4 linked regions of the Callithrix jacchus genome follow. The protein of the gene in region 3 purifies or fractionates together with the protein of the main gene of each other region. This does not show direct contact. Links are inferred from orthologs where the notes say so. Each region holds a gene or a part of one and is shown on either strand. Other genes may lie near its edges. The genes, in order: PDIK1L, STK35, CTDSPL2 and KPNA1.

Region 1 (5,919 bases), on a different chromosome or scaffold from region 3:
GACCCTTTCCAGTGTTCCAGGTATGTGTTCACAGGGCCATTGTATAACCTTTTCCCTAAGGACACCGCAAATTATTTAAGTTTCAGGCCCCACAAGACCTGAACCCACCTCACGGACTTTACAGCGAGCCTAAATTTGAGAATGAGGGTGGATTTCAAATCTCATCTGCAGCTAACTTGAGAGCAAGAGTTCCTATGATATTCAATGACACACAAAGAAAACACAAACGCTACTTTGAGAGAGGTCCCTCCCGATTTGGATCAATAACCCACACAGGTAGCTAGCTGTGTACACAAAGCCTTCTATATTTTCCCTTTATTTTTTTTTTTTTGAGATGGAGTTTCGCTGTTGTTACCCAGACTGGAGTGCAATGGCACGATCTCGGCTCACTGAAACCTCTGCCTCCTGGGTTCAAGCAATTCTCCTGCCTCAGCCTCCCGAGTAGCTGGCGCGCATCACCACGCCCAGCTGATTTTTGTATTTTTAGTGGAGACGGGGTTTCACCTTGTTGACCAGAATGGTCTCGATCTCTTGACCTTGTGATCCACCCGCCTTAGCCTCCCCAAGTGCTGTGATTATAGGTGTGAGCCACCGCGACCCGAAATTTTCCCTTTACTTTTGAGGGCGGGAAATAAGTCTTGGCCTGTCACCAGTGTTTCCAGCAAACAGCTGAAGACCTGACACTTGGATGGCACTCAGGACAAAAGTCTGAACAGATTACAGAACCAATGTGGGGTTTTTTAAGGGGACAGAGTATTACACCGGGGAGTGGGTATTCAAGGTAGACACACCCCAAAAAAGACACTTCAGTAAAAAGAGGCAGAGGTGTTTCCTCATCTGCAAAAATAGGATAATAAAACCTCCCCTTGTGGGGTTAGGTTAGGGTTAAACAAGATAATTTATATATGTAAAGATAATCTCAGACTCTCGGGAGAAATAGCATAAATGGAGAACAGAAAATAAAACGGGTTGATCTTTGAGCACAGCGACAGGGATTCTTTATACATCGTGCCTTATAGAGCGAGCGCTAGGAGGAGGAACCATCACCTTGCTGACAAGTAATCGGTGCAAAATAAATCGGGGAAGAAGGAATGGACGTTTCTGGCGGATGCTTACTGATCTAACAACTGGATGACTGAGAGGTCCGGGCCTGAGTGACCCCGCGCTGGCTGTGGGGCCGACAGCGTGCAGGATCTGACTGACAGCGTGTGGCACCCGGGCGACTGCAGCAGCGGCGGAACTCCCATTGACCGTCCTGTCTCGAAAGGGCCCGGAGCGCGGTGGATCTGGGCTCGGACCGAGGCCTCTTCCGCGCGCCGACTGCAGACCGACCCTCCACCAGGAACCTCGGGGGGACGCCGCGGTCACTGCAGCCAGGTGCGGGCGTCACCGTCCCCTCCCTCCCAGCGCCAGGCAGGGGGCCCTGGCTCCCTGCTGCCACCACCGGGAAACAATGAGGCGCCGGCTTCTTTAAGGGAGATACCACCGCGCCGGCGGGGCAGGGGACGACGTCTTCCCAGATGATCGCACTCAGCCCCGCGCCGCTGCCGCCTTCTCGGCAACTGCATCGTCCGCAAACATGGCTCAGTGACTCGGACAAAAGCTGCAGCCTCCCTCCCGGCGGGGCGGACGCCAGACCTTCTTGCTCGGGCCGCGCCTCCACGCGGGCCCGCCAAAGCAGCACCGCGCCCCGCAAGCACCCAAGGCCCGCGCAGAAGATGCAAGCGGCGTACCACCCCAGCGAGCCCCGCATCCCAGCCCGCAGCTCGGTAGGTTGGAAGGGGGGTGGCGAGGGGGAGGGGAGGCCACGGCGGGGCGCACGCAGCCCCAGGCCAGGGCCTGCTGCTGCAGACCGTCCCCGGGGCCGCGTGCCCTACGCGCCCGCTGCGGCTGGAGGGTGACCGAGACCCCGCGTGGCATGGCCTCGCGGTTCTCGGACCCGGCCACCCCTGCGGAGAGCAGCACCAGTGGTGCGCTCCGTAGCGCGTACACCTCCGACTCCAGGATCTGCAAATCCTCGGGAGAGGGAGGTGGCGAGCGGAGGGCCGGCCACGCGCCTGATCAGTGGCGCGGAACTTACCGGCTCGCACTACGGAAAGCCGGAGGGGGGCGGGGCCGCCAGCGTAAGGGGGTGTGTCCGCGCGCACCACGGGGGCGCGCGCCGGCCGCTGACTGGAGGCGGCGGCTGCAGCGGAGGCGCGAGCTGCCCGATAATGGCGGCCTGCAGAGCCCGTGAGAGGGAGAAGCGGCAGCGTCTACCCTGAGGTAAATCTGGCTCTTCGGCGTGGTGGAGAGGCCCTGCTGCAGTGCCGACGGCCCTGCATGTGCCTCCCTCCCCGGGAGGCCTGTCACAGACCTGTCAGTGGAGTCATCCTGGGGAAGGCCCCGCGCCCCTCAGGCCACCGGCCCTAGCCGCGGCCTCCTCTCACACCTGGGCCACCTCCCCAAGCCCCGGCCCTCAGCCCCCGGCCCCGAGGAGTTGAGGCAGCTGCAGGGCTGGCTCCTCTGGGCAAAGGGGCTCGGGAGCCTCCCCTCCGGGCTTCATCTGAGCGCGGCCGAGGAGGGGGAGGGCCTGACACTTGGCCAATGAGCGCGGCCTGAGCCGCCGCGTCGGACAACACCTCTGGCCCGGACTGGCCCTTCACGGGCGCCGGCAGGTGTCTGGCCTGGCCGGCCCGCGTCCCGGCGCCAGGTTAGAAAGGCGAGAGCGAGGTCCCGCCACTTGCCGTCGAAAGTCGCTTAGGTTCGCACCGGATGCATCATTCGATCCGGGATCCCACGGGTTTCATAAACACCCCTCCTCCCTATTCGGGAAGGTGCTCCTCCCTATGGGGACTGTACCTGGCTGGAGAGGACATGGGACTGCTTCAGAGACACGAACCACCTTGAGTGGATGTGACTGGCGATCGCCGAAGAGCAGGAAAACTCGTCTGCTGTACAGTCGGGGCAGAGGATTCTGTGGCAGGAAATCAGACACTAGGAAATTCGGTAGCGATTTGAAGGGTGGGTGTCCGGTTAGAGGAAGTGGGACTGAAAGCAATCTCAGAAGTCCTTTCTTGATTAAATCTATCCTATGGACTTAACGCAGCGGATCCCAACTTCTCAGGCTCTAGGGTCAGTAGCTTTTTGCATTTCCCAGCTGAACAGAATAAATATTGTACAATCTCAGGTTACTTTTCTTGCCCGTGGCAACAATCTACAAAAGCGAATTCGTTCGTGAAGTTCGTTAGAATCTAGAAATTCTTTGGGGAGTAAGGAAGCACACTTTAGACTGTCTTTATTCAACACATGAGTATTTCTGTATAGGGCCTTTGCTCTCGCCTTTAAACCATTCACTAAGTTGAATTCCCAAGAACTCTGTTAGAGAGCCCATTGATATGCAGGACTTTTTTTTTTTTTTTTTTTTTTTTTTTTTAAGAGACAGGATTTTACCATGTTGACCAGGATGGTCTCGATTTCTTGACCTAGTGATCCGCCCGCCTCGGCCTCCCAAAGTGCTGGGATTACAGGCGTGAGCCACCGCGCCCGGCCCACAGAATATTTTTTGTTGGCAAAAATGACCTAGAACTATTGTTTACTCCAGCTCTCTTCTGATTAGTAAAAAGGAAACATAAGTAAAAAATTTTAAATAGCTATTGTTAAATGACTACAAAAGGTAACTGTATTCTAAGTAGCTTGCTTTATTTTTAAAGAAAAGTTTCGGGCTGGGCGCGGTGGCTCACGCCTGTAATCCCAGCACTTTGGGAGGCCGAGGCGGGTGGATCACGAGGTCAAGAGATCAAGACCATCCTGGTCAACATGGTGAAACCCGTCTCTGCTAAAAATACAAAAAATTAGCTGGGCATGGTGGCTCGTCCTGTAATCCCAGCTACTCAGGAAGCTGAGGGAGGAGAATTGCCTGAACCCAGGAGGCGGAGGTTGCGGTGAGCCGAGATCGCACCATTGCACTCCAGCCTGGGTAACTGCGTCTCAAAAAAAAAGTTTCTTCTCCATAAAGTTTATTTTCATTTATTTTGTAAGAAATAAGGAGATGACATAAGAAACAAAATTAAAATATGAATAAAAGTTTGGCCACTTTTGCATAATGAAAACAAACATTTTCAGTTCTATAAATGTTCTGGTTCACTGTCAGGCCTTAAGCATAAGCCAGGTGTTTGTATTTCTAACTGTGAGGGGGTTTTGTTTTTGCTGTTTTATGACCATTATGTCTGTGTCAGCCTGAAGGAGAAGCTGGGATTTTGCTTGCTTGCTTGTTTTTTCCTGATCAGTGGATAAGAATGCTGAATTTTGGGAATGTATTTTTAACAGTGACATTTTTCAAGCAGTTCATACAAGAGACAGTATACTGTAGTGCTTAAAATTGTGGTTGTCTGAGGCAGATGGCCTGATTTAAAATCCCAGTTCCATGAGTTACTAGCTATTGACCTTAGGCATTTCCTTTAACCTCTCCATTACATAGTTTCATCTATAAAAAGACCATACTAGTATCTACCTCATAAGATTATTATGAGGATTAACCAAATTTAATATTCGAAAGAGTTTAAAACAGTTCCTGATACATAGTAAATACTACCTGTTAGCTTTATTGTTACTATTCTTAAAATTAGATTTTCCCTAGATATAGCAAATATCCCTCAAGCACTGCAGACAGTGAAACAGATGACAAGCAAATCATATATAAAAGGAAATACAAGCCAGTAGGTATACATAATTTCAACAGAGCACTTTGTTGATTTTTCCAGAAACCTCGACCTTGAAGATGGTGAGTAGCCAGCCAAAGTACGATCTAATACGGGAGGTAGGCCGAGGTAGTTACGGTGTTGTGTATGAAGCAGTCATCAGAAAGACTTCTGCACGGGTGGCAGTGAAGAAAATTCGATGTCACGCACCTGAAAATGTTGAACTAGCTCTTCGTGAGTTCTGGGCACTAAGCAGTATCAAGAGCCAACATCCAAATGTGATTCACTTGGAGGAATGCATCCTACAAAAGGATGGGATGGTGCAAAAGATGTCCCACGGCTCTAATTCTTCCCTTTATTTACAGGTATGTGTTGTTGATTGGGAAATAGAAATGATTCGAACATGGCATTGGTCAGCAAGAGGAATGACAGGGTCAAACATTTCCCTTTAAATGCAGGTGTTTTGTAGTTAGAAGTAGATAAGTGTCTGCCAAGAATTGAGTAGATGTTTGCTTTAAAACAAGGTTTTATTTAAACCTGTGATGCACATACCTAAAAATAACATAAGCCACCTGTTATGCAATGGTACTTGCCAGTCTGCATAGGAATGGGGCAAGATAGGAGCTAGAGAAGTGCTTGAGACTACAGTCTAATAACTTCATTTCTTTGAAATCAATAATTCTGGACTTGACAGAAGAAAAGGAAAAACTCCACAACCAATAGCAACACCCTTAGGTAATTGGGCATCTCTTTTATAAATCGCTGGTTTGAATGTCAGCCTTTGCTGTTTTAGAGGGATATTTGGTTTCTTCACCATGCAATTCCAGTTAATTTTCATGAAGTACGTGGTTTAACACCTGAATGTTATTAACAGTGCTAATAGCTAACATTTGAATTCCCACTCAGTTCCATGCTCTGTGTTAAGTGCTTTAAAAGCAGTTGCTCAAAACAATCCTATGAGGAAAGGACTATTATTATCTTCACTACAAATGAAGAAACTGAGGCTTAGGATAGATAATGAATTTATCCAAAGTTACATACCTAGTAAGTGGTAGAATTGGGAGCTGGAGCTAAGACTGGCAGCTAAAGCTTATGCTCTCTTAACTTCCAAATTACTCTTCTGTAAACCTGGGTAAATGGAAAAGCTTTTCTGTTTTTCTTTTGTTGGCTTCTGTCAGAAATTTAAATCTCTAGTAGCTCTATACTCAAAGAATAAAAAAAGATATTAAGATATAGCTTG
Region 2 (5,820 bases), on a different chromosome or scaffold from region 3:
AAGGAAATTCCCACATCAAGCAGTCTTCTAGTAGGAAGTCCAGACCGTCCAGACCGTCCATTGGCAGTAGAGAAGACAGTCTGAGAATGGAAGGATTTGGAAGTAAGTGATGCACTCCTAGAATATAAGTAAGACAAAAGAATCCCCTGAGAGCATTTTTTTTTTTTTTTTTTTTTTTTTTTTGAAACAGGGTCTTGCTCTGTAGCCCAAGTTGTAATGCCGCTGCAGGATCATGGCTCACTGTAGCCTCAACCTCCCAGATTCAAGCGATCCTCCTGCCTCTGACTCTCGAGTAGTTGGGACTATAAGCCTGTGCCATCATGTCTGGCTAGTTTTCTTCTATTTTTTGTGGAGACTGGGGTCTCACTTTGTTGCCCAGGCTGGTCTCAAACTCCTGGGCTCAAGCCATCCTCCTGCCTCCCAAAGTGCTGGGATTAGCTGTGAGTCACTGTGCTCTGCTGGACGTCTTTTCAAAACAAAACCACTCACGCTGGGGAGAGGGTGGGCTTCTCAGAGTGGATGGGGCAGGGATGGACATAAAGGTAGACATCTATTTAAAGGGATTTAGGTGATACTGATTCATGTTTCCAATTCCACCGTCAAACAACTGACTTGCAATGGAATAAAAAGTGTTCTCTTGGGAAAGGCTTGGGGAATCTTAAAGTTGGGCAAAAGCCCCAAAGAAGATTTTAGGAGACCACCCCCTCCAAACTCACCCCAAATCCTACCCATTCTTAAAAGTTCATCCTCAGGGTAGGGAGAACAGCATTACACCTTTGAAAGGACCCAGGCCTTGAATCAAGACAGATCTGGGTTCCCCATCACTTAAGCTCTGAGAAACTTAAGGAAACCAGGAGCATAGTCAAACTTCCCTTTCAAGCAGATTAACCCTGATCAAGTTATTTGTTCACTTCTAAGCCTAGTTTCTCTATTTATAGAAAGAGGACAGAATTTACTTTTGAAGTTATTACCTAAAAATTACTTCAGCGCTAAGACCACAGCTGGGCCTCGGATTAGTCAACTTTCTTCCCCTGGATCCTCCTGCCTCAGAAAGTCTCCTCAAACTTTCCAATGTCCCTCTCCTCCTCTCCGTGAAGACACCTAGCTAACAGCAGTAGTAGGAACAAGGCTTGTGGGTACCGAGTATTTAGGATGAACACGGTCCCTAACGGCAGTCAAAACCGGGAAATTAAGGTAATTAGTTCTTCCAGGACTTGAAGACCACTTGCCTCAATGAACCCCATTTTCCTTCTAAGTAAAACCACTTCCCAGCCAGCCTCTGAGGTTAAGAAAAAGATTAAGATTGTAAAACAAAGGGAAAAGATGTTGAATGCTTTGTTATGTGACAGCTCTCAGGCCACCTGTGAGGGCTGTCAGCCTGCATGCCTCGGAGGACCAAGCAAGAAAACCGCCAGTTTGCTTGGCTGCCTGGGATGAAGGACTGGGGGCCTCAGAGGAAAAGGCAGAGTAGGAGGCCACAAGAGTTTGGGTGTGGGAGCTGGAGGGTGTTAGGAAACTTGGAACCACACAGGGAGAGGGTGTGGATGGGTCCAGTGAAGTTTTTTCTTTTTGTTCGTTTTGGGAGGGAAAGAGAGAGGCCCTAGAGGGTGAGTGGGCTCCGCAGTTCTGCTACTAACTGAACCCAACACCTCCTCCACTCCCTGACCGATCTAAAAAGGTAGTAGGCATTTAATCACCATAGCTCACAATTACTGAGCACCTATTAAGTTAATGGTTTGCACTTAAGCTCTTGTTATTAAAATATCAGCCAACGTTAGGCCCAGAAACTGATCCTGGGACCTGAAAAGAGGGCCGAATTCCTGTGCCTAGAAAAGGAGGGTGTGTCCGGGCACAGGGTGACAGGAACCAGGTCTGAGGCCTAGGGGGGCCGGGAACAATGTGTGCCAAACCGTCCGGAGAGGCGCGGACCCAGGCCTTGCAAATGTGGAAAGGACGGCGGTGCTCCTACCTTTCAGTGAGGTCTCCACCAGGCGCAGGTAAAGCTGCGAGCTCTTATTGCCGTGACTCATGCGCTGCGCTAGCCCGTTGCGCTGCAGGACGCACTCCTCAAACTGCACGACGTTTTGGTGGCGCCGCTTGAGGCTGGTGAGGGCCCAGAATTCAGCCAGAGCTAGCTCCACGTTCTCGGGGGCGTCGCAGCGGATCTTCTTGACCGCCACTCGGGCCCCGCTGCGCCCGGCCACTGCCTCGTAAACCACGCCGTAGCTGCCGCGCCCGATCTCCGCCAACAGACTGTAGCGCGGCCGAGCGGACCCGCCACCGCCCTCTGGCCATCGCCGCGCCAGGTAGGCCTCGCCCGGGGCCTCGGTCGCCACCGGATCCATGGCCTGGGCCGCCGCCACTGGCCTCAGCTTCGTGCTGGGCGCCCGCGGCACTGGGCTTCGCCTTTTCCGCTCCGGGCTTTGTGTACCTCTGCGGGCGCCGTCCTTTCCCGTTTCCATGGCTGCGGGCGGCGGGGGGAGCAGCAACGGCGCTGCCCGGGCCCCCCCTGCCTCATCCCTTCGTCCGGCCCCGGGACGCGGAGGAGCGGGACCTTGGATTGTGACCTGCAGGCCAAAGAATCGGTTAAACGACCAGGCCGAGGCGGGGAGGCCAGGAGAGTAGGCCGCGGAGCGCCCCACCTCCTCCTCCCCCGGCCGCCGCGGCCCCTTTAAGACGGAAGCCACAGCCGCTGATTGAACGGGGGAGGGGAGGGGAAAGCGGGAAAGACGGAACCACTGGGCAGCGGCTCAGAGGGAGAACCGGAAAGAAAAGCACAAACTCTCCCCTTTCTCTGTTAGTTTGTCGTGTAGCGATAAGAAAAAGAACACACAGAAAGCTTAACGCCTTCTGAAAACCGCCTTAAGATGCGATTCGGCCGGCGGAAAACTTTTTCTTTGCCCGTACCCCTCCGTGACGCCCCTCCCCGCGCCCCACCTTGTGTTCGCCCGGGTGTAAACAGTCCATTGAATTAAGCCCTAGCGGAGCCCGGCGGACCGACCCAAGTCCCCTAGGGCGGCGGGTAGAAGAGATTGGCTAAAAAGTTCCGTGTCTCGGAGCGCGACCGGCCGAGGAATCCGATTGCCCTCCCCGAGCGCGGAGGCAGTGGCAGTAACTCCATCCTCGGTGCTGGCTCTTCAGTCCTCGAACAGTACCCTTACCTGGCCCGCGCACCTCCGCTTCCGGGCTGTCCGTTTCACTCCTGGAGCCCCTGTCTGGGGATGGTCCGCTCCGCGATGAGGCTGCCTCCGTGACCGAGCTGCGCGGGAGGTGGTGGCCCGAGCCCGGCGTGTGGCGGGTGCTTCTGCTGCCGCGGCGCTCGCTGGGGAGGCCTGGGCTCCCAGGCTCCCGTGGCTTTCCACGTGTTCCCGCCAGCTGAGCCCTTTACATAACCTCTTTACATAAGCTGCACCTCCCGCCGACGCCCGGGCCAGCGGAGACTCCTGGTGGCCCATCCCCTGGGAGGCCAGCCGAGTGAGTCCTGCGCCGCCTGGTCCTGCCAAGGTCGACGGAGCAGCCGCAGCAGAGCGCACCAGCACGCCTCGCCGGGGCCCAATCACCGGCGAGAACACCCAGCCAACAAAAAATAGGCGCCAAATTCCCGTGATCCGCGGCGGCCCGCGCACCGCGACCCCTTCTCCTCGCCTGACCTGCGTGAAGACCAACCGTACGCAGTAGGCGCTTAATAAATACTGATAGGGTGATTGTCTTGGTTTTTTGATTCATAACTCGGTCTGGGAACGTTAGGGAGTGGGTTGGAATCCTGACCTTCCCTTCTACCAGCCCAGTAATCTTGTGCAAATCATTGCCACAACCTGAGCATCGTTTATCTGATGATCCTCTGCTAAATGGATTAAATGGGCCTTAATTCTCAGGAACAATAGAACCAAATGAAATACATAGATAGAGGCTAATTGGGTGTGGGGCTGAGTTAATACTCAAAGCTCCATTTAAGCACAGATTTTTGAGTATTTTGTTCTGTACTTTGTATTACAGTGTAGGCCTAGTGGGTGCCCAGTGTTAACTGAATCTACCGTTATCTATTGAACACCTGTAATGTGCTAGGCACCGTTTTAAGTCTCTGGGGAAAGAGAAGTAGACAAGGCAGTTTCTGCCTTGGTTGAGGTTCTGTGTCACTGCAGGAGACAAACCACATGGGTGGCCTTGGGCAAGTTAATCAACTTTCTTGTGGGTTTTTACCTCACCTGTAAGAAGATTCACAGAGGTTATCCAGATAAAGCACTTAGGACAGCCTTACACACAGTCAATGTTAAGTATTAAAGGATAATTTTTGCCATTGATAAGTGTGATGGAGAAGAAGAATGAGCTAAAGAGTGCTCGTTGGGGACAGGCTATATCTGATAGTGTATTTAGTCGCTGAAAGCCTCTAATGTTTTTGTGATTAAATTTCAAATTTACACATAAATTTCAAGAATCATAAAGATCATATACTTTTTTACCAGAATAACAAATTGTTATATTTTGCTGCATTTCCGTATCTTACACACACACACACATATATTGTGTGTAGATATCCATATGGTTTATACCTGAAAAGAAAGGGAATCAGTATATGGTATATAGATATTCACACACACACACACACTCACACTTATATAATGTATATATATATATTTTAGGACATCATTTTAGAGTTTCCAACAAGCTTCTTTATTCCAAATATTTATATGTCTTTCCTTTAAAAAAGGCATTATCTTGCATAATCTCAGTACAGTGATCAAAAGTCAGGAATTTTAACAATGATACAATTGTGTTATTTAATACACTCCATCCATATTTAAATTTTGCTAATTGTCTCAATCATGTTCTTTATAGCTATTCCCCAGGATGCAATTCAGGATCACACGTTTCATTGACTTGTCATACCTCTTTAGTTTCCTTTAACCTGGAAGGGCAGTTATCCAGCCTTCGTCTTTCATGACCTTGACATTTTGGAAGAGTACTGGTGAGTTATATTATAGAATGTCCCTAAATTTTGATTTTAATGTTTTCTTATGATTACATGCAGAGTATGCACTTCCCCCCCCCCCCCCCCCCGCCCCACATTACCTACCCATCCCTTGCTATTCTGAGAGGGTGAGGGTTTGCATTTTCTGGCAGGAATGTTACTGAAAAGAGTTGCCTCCTCAGGGCCTTTCATCAGGAGGCACATGACATTGTATTTGTCCCGGTATTCGTGGTATTAACTTCCATCATTTGGTTGAGGTTGTGTAGGGGGAGGTACACGCCACCATAAAGTTACAATTTTTCCTTTTGTAACTATTAAGTATCCTGTGGGAAGATATTTTGAGACTGTTTAAATATCCTGTTCTTCACCAGACTCTTACCCACTGGTTTTAGAATTCATGCGGATTCTTGCTTGAAACAATTATTACGGTTGCAAAATGGTGATCAGAAAGTCTTTTTAAACATGACCATTAACAATCTTCGTTACTTACCCTCTCACATCCTCTGATTCCCCCGCCACCCTTCCCAGCCTCCAGTAACTATCATTCTACTTTCTCTGTCTCCATGGGTTCAGTTGTTCTGATTTTTAGATCCCACAAATAGAACATGCAATGTTTTCTTTCTGTGCTTGGCTTATTTCACTTAACATAATGATCTCTGGTTCCGTCCATGTTATTGCAAATGACTGAATCTCATTCTCTTTAATGGCAGAGTAATACTCCATTGTGTATAAGAACTACATTTTCTTTATCCATTTATCTGTTGATGGACACTTAGGTTACCTCCAAATCTTGGCTGTTGTGAACAGAGCTGCAAAAAACACTGGAAAATTGAAATACTGATTTCCTTTCT
Region 3 (5,246 bases):
TAGGGTTTCACTCTACTGGTCAGGCTAGTCTCCAATTCCTGTACTCATGTATTTGCCCGCCTTGGCCTCCCAAAGTGCTGGGATTACAGGTGTGAGCCACTATGCCTAACCTAGATAAATTTTCTTTCCTTCTTTTTTTTTTTTTTGAGACAGAGTCTCACTCTTTCACCCAGGCAGGAGTGCAATGGCGTCATCTCGGCTCACTGTAACCTCCGTCTCCTGGGTTCAAGTGATTCTCCTGCCTCAGCCTCCTGAGTGGCTGGGATTACAGGTGTGTGCCACCATACCCGGCTAATTTTTGAATTTTTAGTAGAGTCGAGATTTCACCATCTTGGCCAGGCTGGTCTCAAACTCCTGACCTTGTGATCCATCTGCCTCGGCCTCCCAAGGTGCTGGGATTATAGATGTGAGCCATGTGCCTGGCTTTTTCCTTCTTTTAAAACTGAAATGATATCTGGCTTTGCTGCTCAGCCTGCAGTACAGTGATAAAATCGTAGCTCACTGCCACCTCAAATTCCTGGCCTCAAGGGATCCTCCTGTCTCAGCCTCCCAAGTAGCTGGGACCACAGGGTTGCACCACCAGGCCCATTCATTTTTTGTAGCACCGTGGGTCTTACTATGTTGTCTAGGCAGGTCTTGAATTCCTAGGCCAAATGTAGGCTCAAAGTTCTGAAATTACAGGCATGAAACACCGTGCCTGGCTAAGATAAATTTTCTATGAGAACTAAATCACATCTCCAATTATAGGGTACCAGAAACAAATACTTAATAATATTTTCCAATATGACATGAGATTCATTTGTTACCAATATCAAAAATTAGTTCCTCCCCCAATCCCACTGCTTTACTTTACTAGCCTTAAAAAAAGTAAACAAATTTAAAAAATGCAAAATCAGTAAGAAATTAGAGGCAGATGGGAAATGTGACTATATATTAAATTTGGTTAGCAAATAGGAGATAAATACCCTAAAATATCATTGTTTTTCAAGAAAGACTCTTGCTCTGTCACCATGGCTAGAGTGCAGTGGCATGATCTCAGCTTACTGCAACATCTGTCTCCTGGGTTTTAGGATTCTCGTGCCTCAGCTTCCCAAGTAGCTGCGATGACCAGTGCGTATTACCATGCCCAGCTAGTTTTTGAATTTTTAGTAGAAAATGGGTTTCACCATGTTGGTAAGGCTAGTCTCAACTCACCCACCTTGATCTCCCAAAATTCTTGGATTACAGGCATGAGCTACCGCCCTGAGCCCCTAAAATACAAATTTTTAAATCATATCGGAGATCAGATTAAAAACTTTGTTAGTATTAAGAAACTGTGCTTTTAAGACTATTAATCAAAAGTTTATTGGTATAATATATATATATATAAATAAGGGTTATAGTCTTGCATATGGTTAATTCAGTTGACCCAAACTATATTTGGTCCTTCAGGAAAACATGATCCCAACAAAAAAGGAGAAAGCTAATATAGACATGATTAAAAAAAAAAATTTCACCCATTTATTCTCTACCTTTAGAGACTTACCAAGTCTAAAACTAGGGAGAATTCCGGTGTGCTTCTTGTTTTCAACGGAAGAGCAGGTTTCCTATTTAGTTGTTCTTCTGTCAGTGGTGGGACATGTTTGATGAAATAATAGCTATAAATCAGATTTTTAAAAAATTTCAACATTTTACTTTTTATAAATATAAAATATTACTAAGCTCAGTCCATTTAAAAGTCTACAAAGCAGTTGACCCAGAAAATAAAACTTATCAAATATGTTAATAAAAGTAAAAATATAGAAATTAGTATCTCTATAAATCAAACTCACTCTATCACAGCTTACTGTAACCTCTGCCTCTTGGGCTCAAGTGATCCTCCCCAATAGCTGGGACTACAGGCATGTGTCACCGCACCCAGCCAATTTTTGTATTTTTTATAGAGACAGGTTTTACCATGTTGCCCAGGCTGGTCTTGAACTCCAGGGCTCAAACAATCTGCCTGCCTGGGTCTCTCAAAGTGCTGGGATGAGCCACTGCACCCAGCAGTAAAAGTTGTAATACCTACAGGTTATATACCCAGTATATATATGTAATACCTATAGATTATATACACAGTAAAAGTTCTAATACCTACAGATTACATATCTTGGCAATATACTACTTAGCCACCAATCCACATATATAATGAACTTTCATCATGCTCCAAAAGAAAGGGGGGGTAGGGAGGAAGGCGGAGAGGGTGGGAGGGAGGGAGGGAAGGAAGGAAGGAAGGAAGGAAGGAAGGAAGGAAGGAAGGAAGGAAGGAAGGAAGGAAGGAAACAACTAACTAACTCACGGGTCAAATACTTCCCAGTCTTCTTCATAGGTGGCCTCTGCATGGGCTGATGAATAACCACTATCTGGAGTTACTGGCGCTGTTTAACACAGTGAAAGACAAAACGTTGTTTTTACTTAATGCTTCAAGAAATACACTTTTTTATTGCTCCTATGTAAGATCTTCCTGAAGCCCTATAATACACATTTTTACTGCTTCTATATAAGATCTTCCTGAAACACTGTGTATTTTAGATTAAAGACAAATAATTTGTAAACAACACATAAAAGCAAATTTATTAATATATAGATCTAACTTTAGATCTAAAGGGAAAAATGACCACTACAGACAAAATGGCAAATCAGATCATAGCTAGAATTAAGATGTTTATCAGCTAAGAGAAAATGTACTACTTATTAATAGAAAAACATACTCTAAAAAAAGGAATCTCTTTTTTTGTATGATGTTTACATGTAATAACCAAAAAAAATTTCATGGTGCTCTTATAGGGGCAATAGTTCAAAAAGCACCTTGTGTACACAGGCAGTCAGTAAATGTATCCTGACATTAGACCCAAATGTTCTTGTTTTATTTTGTTTTTTTGAGACGGAGTCTCATTCTGTTGCCCAGGCTGGAGTGCAATGGGCACAACTCAACTCAGTGCAACCTCTGCTTCCCAGGTTCAAATAATTCTCCTGCCTCAGCCTTCTGAGTAGCTGGGATTCAGGTATGCACCATCATGCCTGGCTAAGTTTTGTATTTTTAGTAGAGATGAGGTTTCACCATGTTGGTCAGGCTGGTCTCGAACTCCTGACCTCGTGATCTGCCTGCCTCGGCCTCTCAAAGCGCTGGGATTAAAGGTGTGAGCCACCGTGCCTGGCCCAAATGTAGTTTTTAAACCTGAGATCCAGTCTTTAAAAGGTTCATGAACCCTTTTCAGACTTATTTTTAAAAAATTGTATGTACATGTTTCCAGGAATCTCAAGACTACAATCTTGAAAACTTAAGACATGTGGCCAGGCACAATGGCTTTGCCTGCAGTCCCAGCACTTTTGAGGACCAAAGTGGGCGGATAACCTGAGGTCAGGGGTTCGAGAGCAGTCTGACCAACATGGAGAAACCCCGTCTCTACTAAAAATACAAAATTTGCCGGGCGTGGTGGCGCATGCCTGTAATCCCAGCTACTCAGGACGTTCAGGCAGAAGAATTGCTTGAACCTAGAAAGAGGTTGCAATGAACCAAGATCGCACCACTGCACTCCAGCCTGGGCAACAAGAGTATAATTCCAGCTCAAAAAATGTATATAAAAATAAAATAAATTAAGAAATGCTACTCTCTGCAGAAACTGTTCTTTATTTTAGTTTTTTTTGAGATGGAGTCTTCCTCTGTCACGTAGGCTGGAGTGCAGCGGCACAATCTCAGCTCACTGCAACCTCCACCTCTGGGGTTCAAGTGATTCTCCTGACTCAGCCTCCTGAGTAGCTGGGCTTACAGGTGCCTGCCACCATGCCTGGCTAATTTTTTTTGTATTTTTAGTAGAGAAGGGGTTTCAGCATGTTGTCCAGGCTGGTCTTGAACGCCTTACCTCAGGTGATCCACTCACCTTGGCCTCCCAAAGCGCAGGGATAACAGGTGTGAGCTACCTCGCCCAGCCAGAAATTGTTCTTTTAGTCAGTCTTTTTTTTTTTTTTTTGAGACAGGGTCCTGTTCTGTTACCCAGGTTGGAGTGCCATGGAGCAAACACTGTGGTCTTGATCTAGGCTCAGGCAATCCTCCTGCCTCAGCTTCCCAAGTAGGTGGGACTACAGGTGTACCACCACATCTGGATAACTAAAAATATTTTTTTTATAGAGACAAAAAAGTGTCTCATTATGCTGCCCAGGCTGGTCTCAAACTCCTGAGCTCAAGAGATCCTCCCTTCTCAGCCTCCTTAAGTGCTGTTGAGCCATCGTGCCTGATCAAAATCACTGCTTTATAAGACATATTATTTTACTTCTAATTTATAAACAACTTAAAAATGGTCCAGAAGTAATTCTATATTGCATGCCATAGTTCATTCCCAGTTTGAGCTAAGATCATAACATTTGATAGAGCTTTAGAAATTATACTGGAAATTTTCCAAGACAATAATTACAACTTAAATGTAAGGAGAAGACAAAGGTAACTTATAAGCCAAACAGGTAATGTCTCAGACATAAAAATTTAAAGTGGAACCCAATAAAACTTTCTGTGATGTTTCTATAGAAATGAAATAGTAGAGAATAGTCTTTCAAGACAAAATAGTCTTTTGTCCAATTGTAACGTATTAACACCTTTTGAGACAGAGTCAACCTGGTGTGTATGTTCAGTGGATGACATCAGATGTAAAACAGAATTTTTGTGCGTCTCTGGCAATATTATGCTTCTAATAATTAGCACAAGAAAATGTATCTTCAACTACTTACTGTTTCAAGTTCCTATTGATGAAAGAAACAAAATTTATTTTTATTTATTTACTTTATTATTATTTTTCAAGACAAGTCTCACTTTGTCGTCCAGGCTGGAGTGCAGTGGCATGAACACAGCTCACTGCAGCCTTGACCTCCCAAGTCAAGCAATCCTCCTACCTCAGTCCTTCAGGTAGCTGGGACTATAGGTGTATGAGCCACGATGGCCAGCTAATTTTTTATATATATTTTTTTTTTGTAGAGACAGAATTTCACCATATTGCCCAGGCTAGTCTCAAACTCCTGAGCTCAAGTGATCTGCCCACCTTGGCCTCCCAAAGTGCTGGGATTATAGGCATGAACCATGGTGCCCAGCCAAGAATATTTGTTAAATGCTTATATGTTAAGTATTTTGCATATCTCATTTAGCCTGCAAAACCTTGTATTATAATAGCCACGTTAAAGCTGAGAAAACTGTATTTGAAACTGTCTCAAGGGCTTAAATAAGTCATCCAAAGTAACAA
Region 4 (5,246 bases), on a different chromosome or scaffold from region 3:
TGGTCAATGAGGAAGAAGAACTAAAAGACTTCAACATCACAATGCAGCTAAGATTTCAAGAAGAAATATGGCTATAACAATGCACTGTAAATGGTGTCTCTTGATACAGAAGTTGAATGGAATAGACAATGACATTAGAAAGAGAAGAATCTTCCTTACACAGGAGACTTACCATGTACAGAAGGAGAAAGCTATCAGAAGGTGATATTGAGATGACGCAGGCAGAGAAAAGATGCTACTAGAGGCTTCGAATGCTCGTGAGAACCATTTCAAATAGTGAAGACAAACAAATCTTTCTCACCAAAAGAAAAGTCATTATCATAGGGGAACCCCAAATTACTACAATCAACAGGTCAAGTCAGAGATGCTGAAGGTACTGAGAGTAGATGCCTAAACCAACGTTTTTGTGTTTTTATTTTTTTTAAGCCAGAGTCTTGCTCTGTCACCCAGGCTGGAGTGCAGTGGTGCGATCTCAGCTCACTGCAACCTCTGCCTCCTGGGTTCAAGAGACTCTCCGGCCTCCCAGTAGCTTGCAGTGAGCCTAGATTGTGCCATTGCACTCCAGCCTGGTGACAGAGCGAGACTCCATCTCAAAAAAACAAAACAAAAAAACAGTACATTGAACTTGGCTATTTCTTTTATTTTTAGTAGAGTCAGGGTTTCGCCATGTTGCCCAGGTTGGTGCCAAACTCCTGGGCTCAGGCGATCTACCCACCTCTGTCTCCCAAAGTGCTGGGATTACAGGCATGAGCCACTGCACTGGCTCAATATTTTTAAACATTAGTGAAACACAGTATCAAATTTCCCTAATAATATGAAGTTAAATACTATAATAGAAATATGATCATGAAGTTCAATGTACTGTTTTTTTGTTTTGTTTTTTTGAGATGGAGTCTCGCTCTGTCACCAGGCTGGAGTGCAATGGCACAATCTAGGCTCACTGCAATCTCCACTTCCCATGTTCAAGCAGTTCCCCTGCCTCAGCCTCCCAAGTAGCTGGAACTACAGGCGTGCACCACCACACCCAGCTAATTTTTTGTATTTCAGTAAAGACAGGGTTTTACCATGTTGGCCAGGATGATCATAATCTCCTGACCTCAAGATCCACTTGCCTCGGCCTCCCAGAGTGTTGAGATGACAGGTGTGAGCCACCATGCCCAGCCAATGTAGTACTCTTTTTAAAGGAACAAAGAAACAATTATCACTTCTTCATACCTGTGTCTGAATATCATCCCCTGTGACAATGTTTCCCACAGCTCGCAAAGCAGGAGAAACCACTTTATAATCATTATGCCTGAAAAAATAAAAAGTAATGTTATAGCCAACAGTTCTATCCTTAGTCTCATTTCCTTAGAACCAAAATTAAAAAAAATTATGATAGAATTTTAGAGCAGAAAGGTACCTATGGGGGTAATTAAGGGAACTCTTATCATGTCCCCTACTGTCTTTCCCTTTATTTTAGTACATTTGGAAAAAACTACCAATCTTTCCTAGGAATCTTTCCCAGGTATTCCATCACCTGGATTCCAAGTTTTCCCTCTCATTCTTTAATTTAGGTTTCATTTCCTCTTTACTTGGTCTTGTATGGTTGCTGAGATAACGGAGAACAATAGTTAATATTTATGCAACATGTTTTAAGTTTTATAAATTGTCTTAATTTTCACAGAGGTTAAAAACAACACATCAACAGCCGAACTAACTTGAAAATGCAAGTCAGGAGTCACACTCCAAATATAAAGGTCTTTCAACTAAACCTACTAAGCTGCCTTACTGGTTGAAAACCCCTCCCTTACTGGTTGAAAATCCCTCCACAAAGCTATACATACACACACACACACAAACTTTTGATTTTCTTTAAGGGTCCTACTTTTCCCGCCCCTTTAATAAGGCTGATCACTCATCTAAAAACTGCCAGTTCCTTCACATTTTAGATGTGATTATTAAAAAGAAATGGCTAAAATATATAGTAGTCTAATGGATAAAGAATGCAAAGGTTTACTTCCCAGATTTTGAATGATGTACTGACTCCTGCAGCATCATACTGCCTGCCATTCATTCACATTAGCACTACAATACTGCTCTGCATTCAGTCTGCAGCCAGCTATAATGTTGTATTTTGTATTAACATATTATAACTATCTAATCTATTCCAAATGTCATGTTTGAGACAATGTCTCCTCGCATCTATTTTGTACTTTAATTAAATTTCCAGTTGCTTGTAGTTGTACCATTTCTCCATTATGTTATCACTTTTTTCTTCTGTCGTATCTAAAAATTTGATTAAGACAGTCTCAAATTATTTATTTAACGAGTAAATCTTCTACTGCATTATCAAAAGCAGCACAAAGGTGATAAACCAAAGTAAGATTCAGTTTCTGATACTTGTCTTAAATAAGCTCTAAATGAGACAGAAAGATAAGGAATGACTATTTTATTGGCAGTGTATCTTCTGATGTCCAGTGGTTGATCTCGGGTCATCCAGTATGAGACTGTAACTACACAGATCAGAGTTTTCCAAATATTTCTGCTAAAGGCCTGCTAACAGCAGAGGAGTAAGAGGTTCTCTATAAGCCTCAATAAAACAAGACAAACAGATCTGCCATCAACATAAACAAGTAACAAAAAATAGTAGCCCAAAGCACAATAAACCAATATAATATACAATCAATTAATATTTAAGTATTAGTAGCTAGAAAACTAGTACCAAGGGAAAAAAAGTGAACACACTTTCTAAAACATATCTTACATCAGCAGCTCCACAAGTCTCCTACATACTCCCGCATCAATGACTGCTTGAATTTTATCATTGGGTCCATCTGATAGATATGAGAGGGCCCAGCAGGCATCAGCCAGTACATCAGTGTCACTGACAAACAGCAACCAGGAAAGCACATTCAGACATGGGGAAACCTATAAAAGGAAAATGATGATTATGAAATCCAACAGACTAGAAGCCAGAAGTGAGGTGAGATACTCAAGAAGGCAGCCAGGCATAAATTTGGTGACTTCTTGAGTGATTTACACTTCTCAAGAAACAACAAGTACCTAAGTGGCAGTTCCATCTTTAACAATGCTGTCAGTGGTCTTGCACTAATTTGTAGTCAGAGCCCAAGGAAATTAATTTCAGATCATAAAGTTTTATATACATCAATTCTTGGAGTGAGATTCCTTGTCAAAACACATTCTTTGTGGACTAAAGAGGTAAAGAAACTTTCAAAAATGTGAAAGCTAAGAAATTCTGTATTTTAGATACTTTAGACCAAAAATGCTAGGGTTTTAAGATGAATTCAGTGAAAAATGATTCCAAATTAAAAACAACTACCAAAAAAAAATCCTGTTTCTTCTAATATGCAAAATATACAAGAAACTCAAATCAGCAAGAAAAAAACAATCCCATCAAAAAGTGGGCTAAGGACACAGACGATTCTCTAAAGAAGATATACAAATAGCCAAAAACCATTTAAAAATGCTCATCGCTCATCACTAATTATCAGGGAAATGCAAATTGAAACCACAATGTTATACCATCTTACTCCTGCAAGAATTGCTATAATCAAAAAATCAAAACAGGCGGGATGTGGTGGCTCATGCCTGTAATCCCAGCACTTTGGGAGGCTGAGGTGGGTGGATCACCTGAGGTCAGGAGTTCAAGACCAGCCTGGCCAGCATGGTGAAACCCCATCTCTACTAAAAATACAAAAATCAGCCGGGCATGGTGGTGTGTGCCCATCATCCCAGCTACTCAGGAGGCTGAGGCAGGAGAATCGCCTGATCCTGGGAGGTGGAGGTTGCAGTGTGCTGCACAACTGCACTCCAGCCTGGGCAACAAGAGCGAAACCCTGTCTCAAAAAAACAAAAACACGATAAATGTTGGCATGGATGTGGTGAAAAGGGGAATGTAAATTAGTATAACCACTATGGAAAATAGTACAGAGATTCCTTAAAGAACTGAAAGTAGATCTGCCATTTGATCCAGCAATTCCACTGCTACAAACGTGCACAGATACTTGCACACGCATATTTACAGCAGCACAATTCACAATTGCAAAATTATGGAAACAGCCCAAATGCCCATCAATCAACAAGTAGATAAAGAAACTGTGATATATATACCATAGAATACTGCTCAGCCATAAACAGAAACAAAACAACGGCATTTGCAGCAACCTGGATGGAACTGGAGACCATTATTCTAAGTAAAGTAACTCAGGAATGGAAAACCAAACATCAGATGTTCTCATTCATAAGTGGGATGTAAGCTATGAGGGCACAAAAGCATGAGATTGATACAATAAACTTTGGGGATTCTGGGGTAAAGGATGAGAGGTAGGTGAGAAATACAAGACTAGACAGTGGGTACTCTGTACACTGCTTGGGTGATGGGTGCACCAAAATCTCAAAAATCACCACTAAACAACTTACTCATGTACCCAAACACCTGATCTGTTCCCCTAAAACCTACTGCAAAAAAAAAAAAAAAAAAAAAATCTCATGGACTCCCAGACTATACTTTGAGAACCACTGTTTTAGGAGAACTGAAGAGTCTCTTAATACAGTATACTAATTGTATGAAGTCTCATTTCAATGAGCTTTACAAATTCTCCCTTTATGCTATGCTTTTATTTATTTGCAGCCCCTACATAAATGTGCATCTTCAAGCTATGCTTTAAATTTGCTTTTCAAATAATAAAGGGAACCAAAAAAAAAAACAAAAACCCTGTTTCTCCAAAAACAGATAAAATTCTAACATTTTAAGTTTTAACAAAAATTATCTTTCTGTTCACCTTACTATTGGTTGCTATACTCTTATAATTGCATTTTTTCTGCCAATGTCCCAAAAGCACAGTCCTTACCTTTGCAAATTCTGGAGGTGGACTTTTCCCTCTACAGAGGTTAGACAAAGCCCATACTGCATTCCGGGTCATGGTCAGGCGGTTTTGCTTTGAAAATAACCTATAAGCATGATGGTACAATGGTAAACTATATAATAGACATTGATTCTCTGAAAACATAATATAAATACTAAGTAATAGTACTTTTGATAAAGAGATGTCTTCAGATAGCTTTTCCCCAGAACATTAAAACTTCATTAATTCTGATACAAGTAATTCAGAATTTTGACATGAGAGAAAGATAGAGTGCTTAAGGGAATGATCTTTTTTTCCCCTCGTTTTTTCCTTTTTTCTGAGGAAATGATCTAAACAAGAAAATGTCTGGAATGAAAAATAACAACAGAAAATCCAAAA

What was found.
Region 1: the proteins of CTDSPL2 (region 3) and PDIK1L purify together in Homo sapiens (affinity purification with mass spectrometry; 4 studies listed by BioGRID and IntAct, counting the BioPlex papers as one, with this or other methods). This does not show direct contact. The link is inferred for Callithrix jacchus from reciprocal best matches to the Homo sapiens genes CTDSPL2 and PDIK1L.
Region 2: the proteins of CTDSPL2 (region 3) and STK35 purify together in Homo sapiens (affinity purification with mass spectrometry; 3 studies listed by BioGRID and IntAct, counting the BioPlex papers as one, with this or other methods). This does not show direct contact. The link is inferred for Callithrix jacchus from reciprocal best matches to the Homo sapiens genes CTDSPL2 and STK35.
Region 4: the proteins of CTDSPL2 (region 3) and KPNA1 purify together in Homo sapiens (affinity purification with mass spectrometry; 3 studies listed by BioGRID and IntAct, with this or other methods). This does not show direct contact. The link is inferred for Callithrix jacchus from reciprocal best matches to the Homo sapiens genes CTDSPL2 and KPNA1.

The regions. Positions count from the first base shown.
Region 1 is NC_133508.1:62,762,496-62,768,414, forward strand, and holds the start of PDIK1L (serine/threonine-protein kinase PDIK1L), read left to right. Parts: upstream 1-2,236; 5' UTR 2,237-2,828; coding exon 2,829-3,003; intron 3,004-4,742; coding exon 4,743-5,044; intron 5,045-5,919.
Region 2 is NC_133506.1:9,682,560-9,688,379, reverse strand, and holds the start of STK35 (serine/threonine-protein kinase 35), read right to left. Parts: upstream 3,511-5,820; 5' UTR 3,456-3,510; coding exon 3,162-3,455; intron 2,568-3,161; coding exon 1,970-2,567; intron 1-1,969.
Region 3 is NC_133509.1:32,212,904-32,218,149, reverse strand, and holds part of CTDSPL2 (CTD small phosphatase-like protein 2), read right to left. Parts: intron 2,397-5,246; coding exon 2,318-2,396; intron 1,638-2,317; coding exon 1,526-1,637; intron 1-1,525. UniProt on the Homo sapiens protein: Probable phosphatase.
Region 4 is NC_133516.1:80,578,173-80,583,418, reverse strand, and holds part of KPNA1 (importin subunit alpha-5), read right to left. Parts: intron 4,954-5,246; coding exon 4,854-4,953; intron 2,911-4,853; coding exon 2,747-2,910; intron 1,295-2,746; coding exon 1,216-1,294; intron 1-1,215. UniProt on the Homo sapiens protein: Functions in nuclear protein import as an adapter protein for nuclear receptor KPNB1. Binds specifically and directly to substrates containing either a simple or bipartite NLS motif.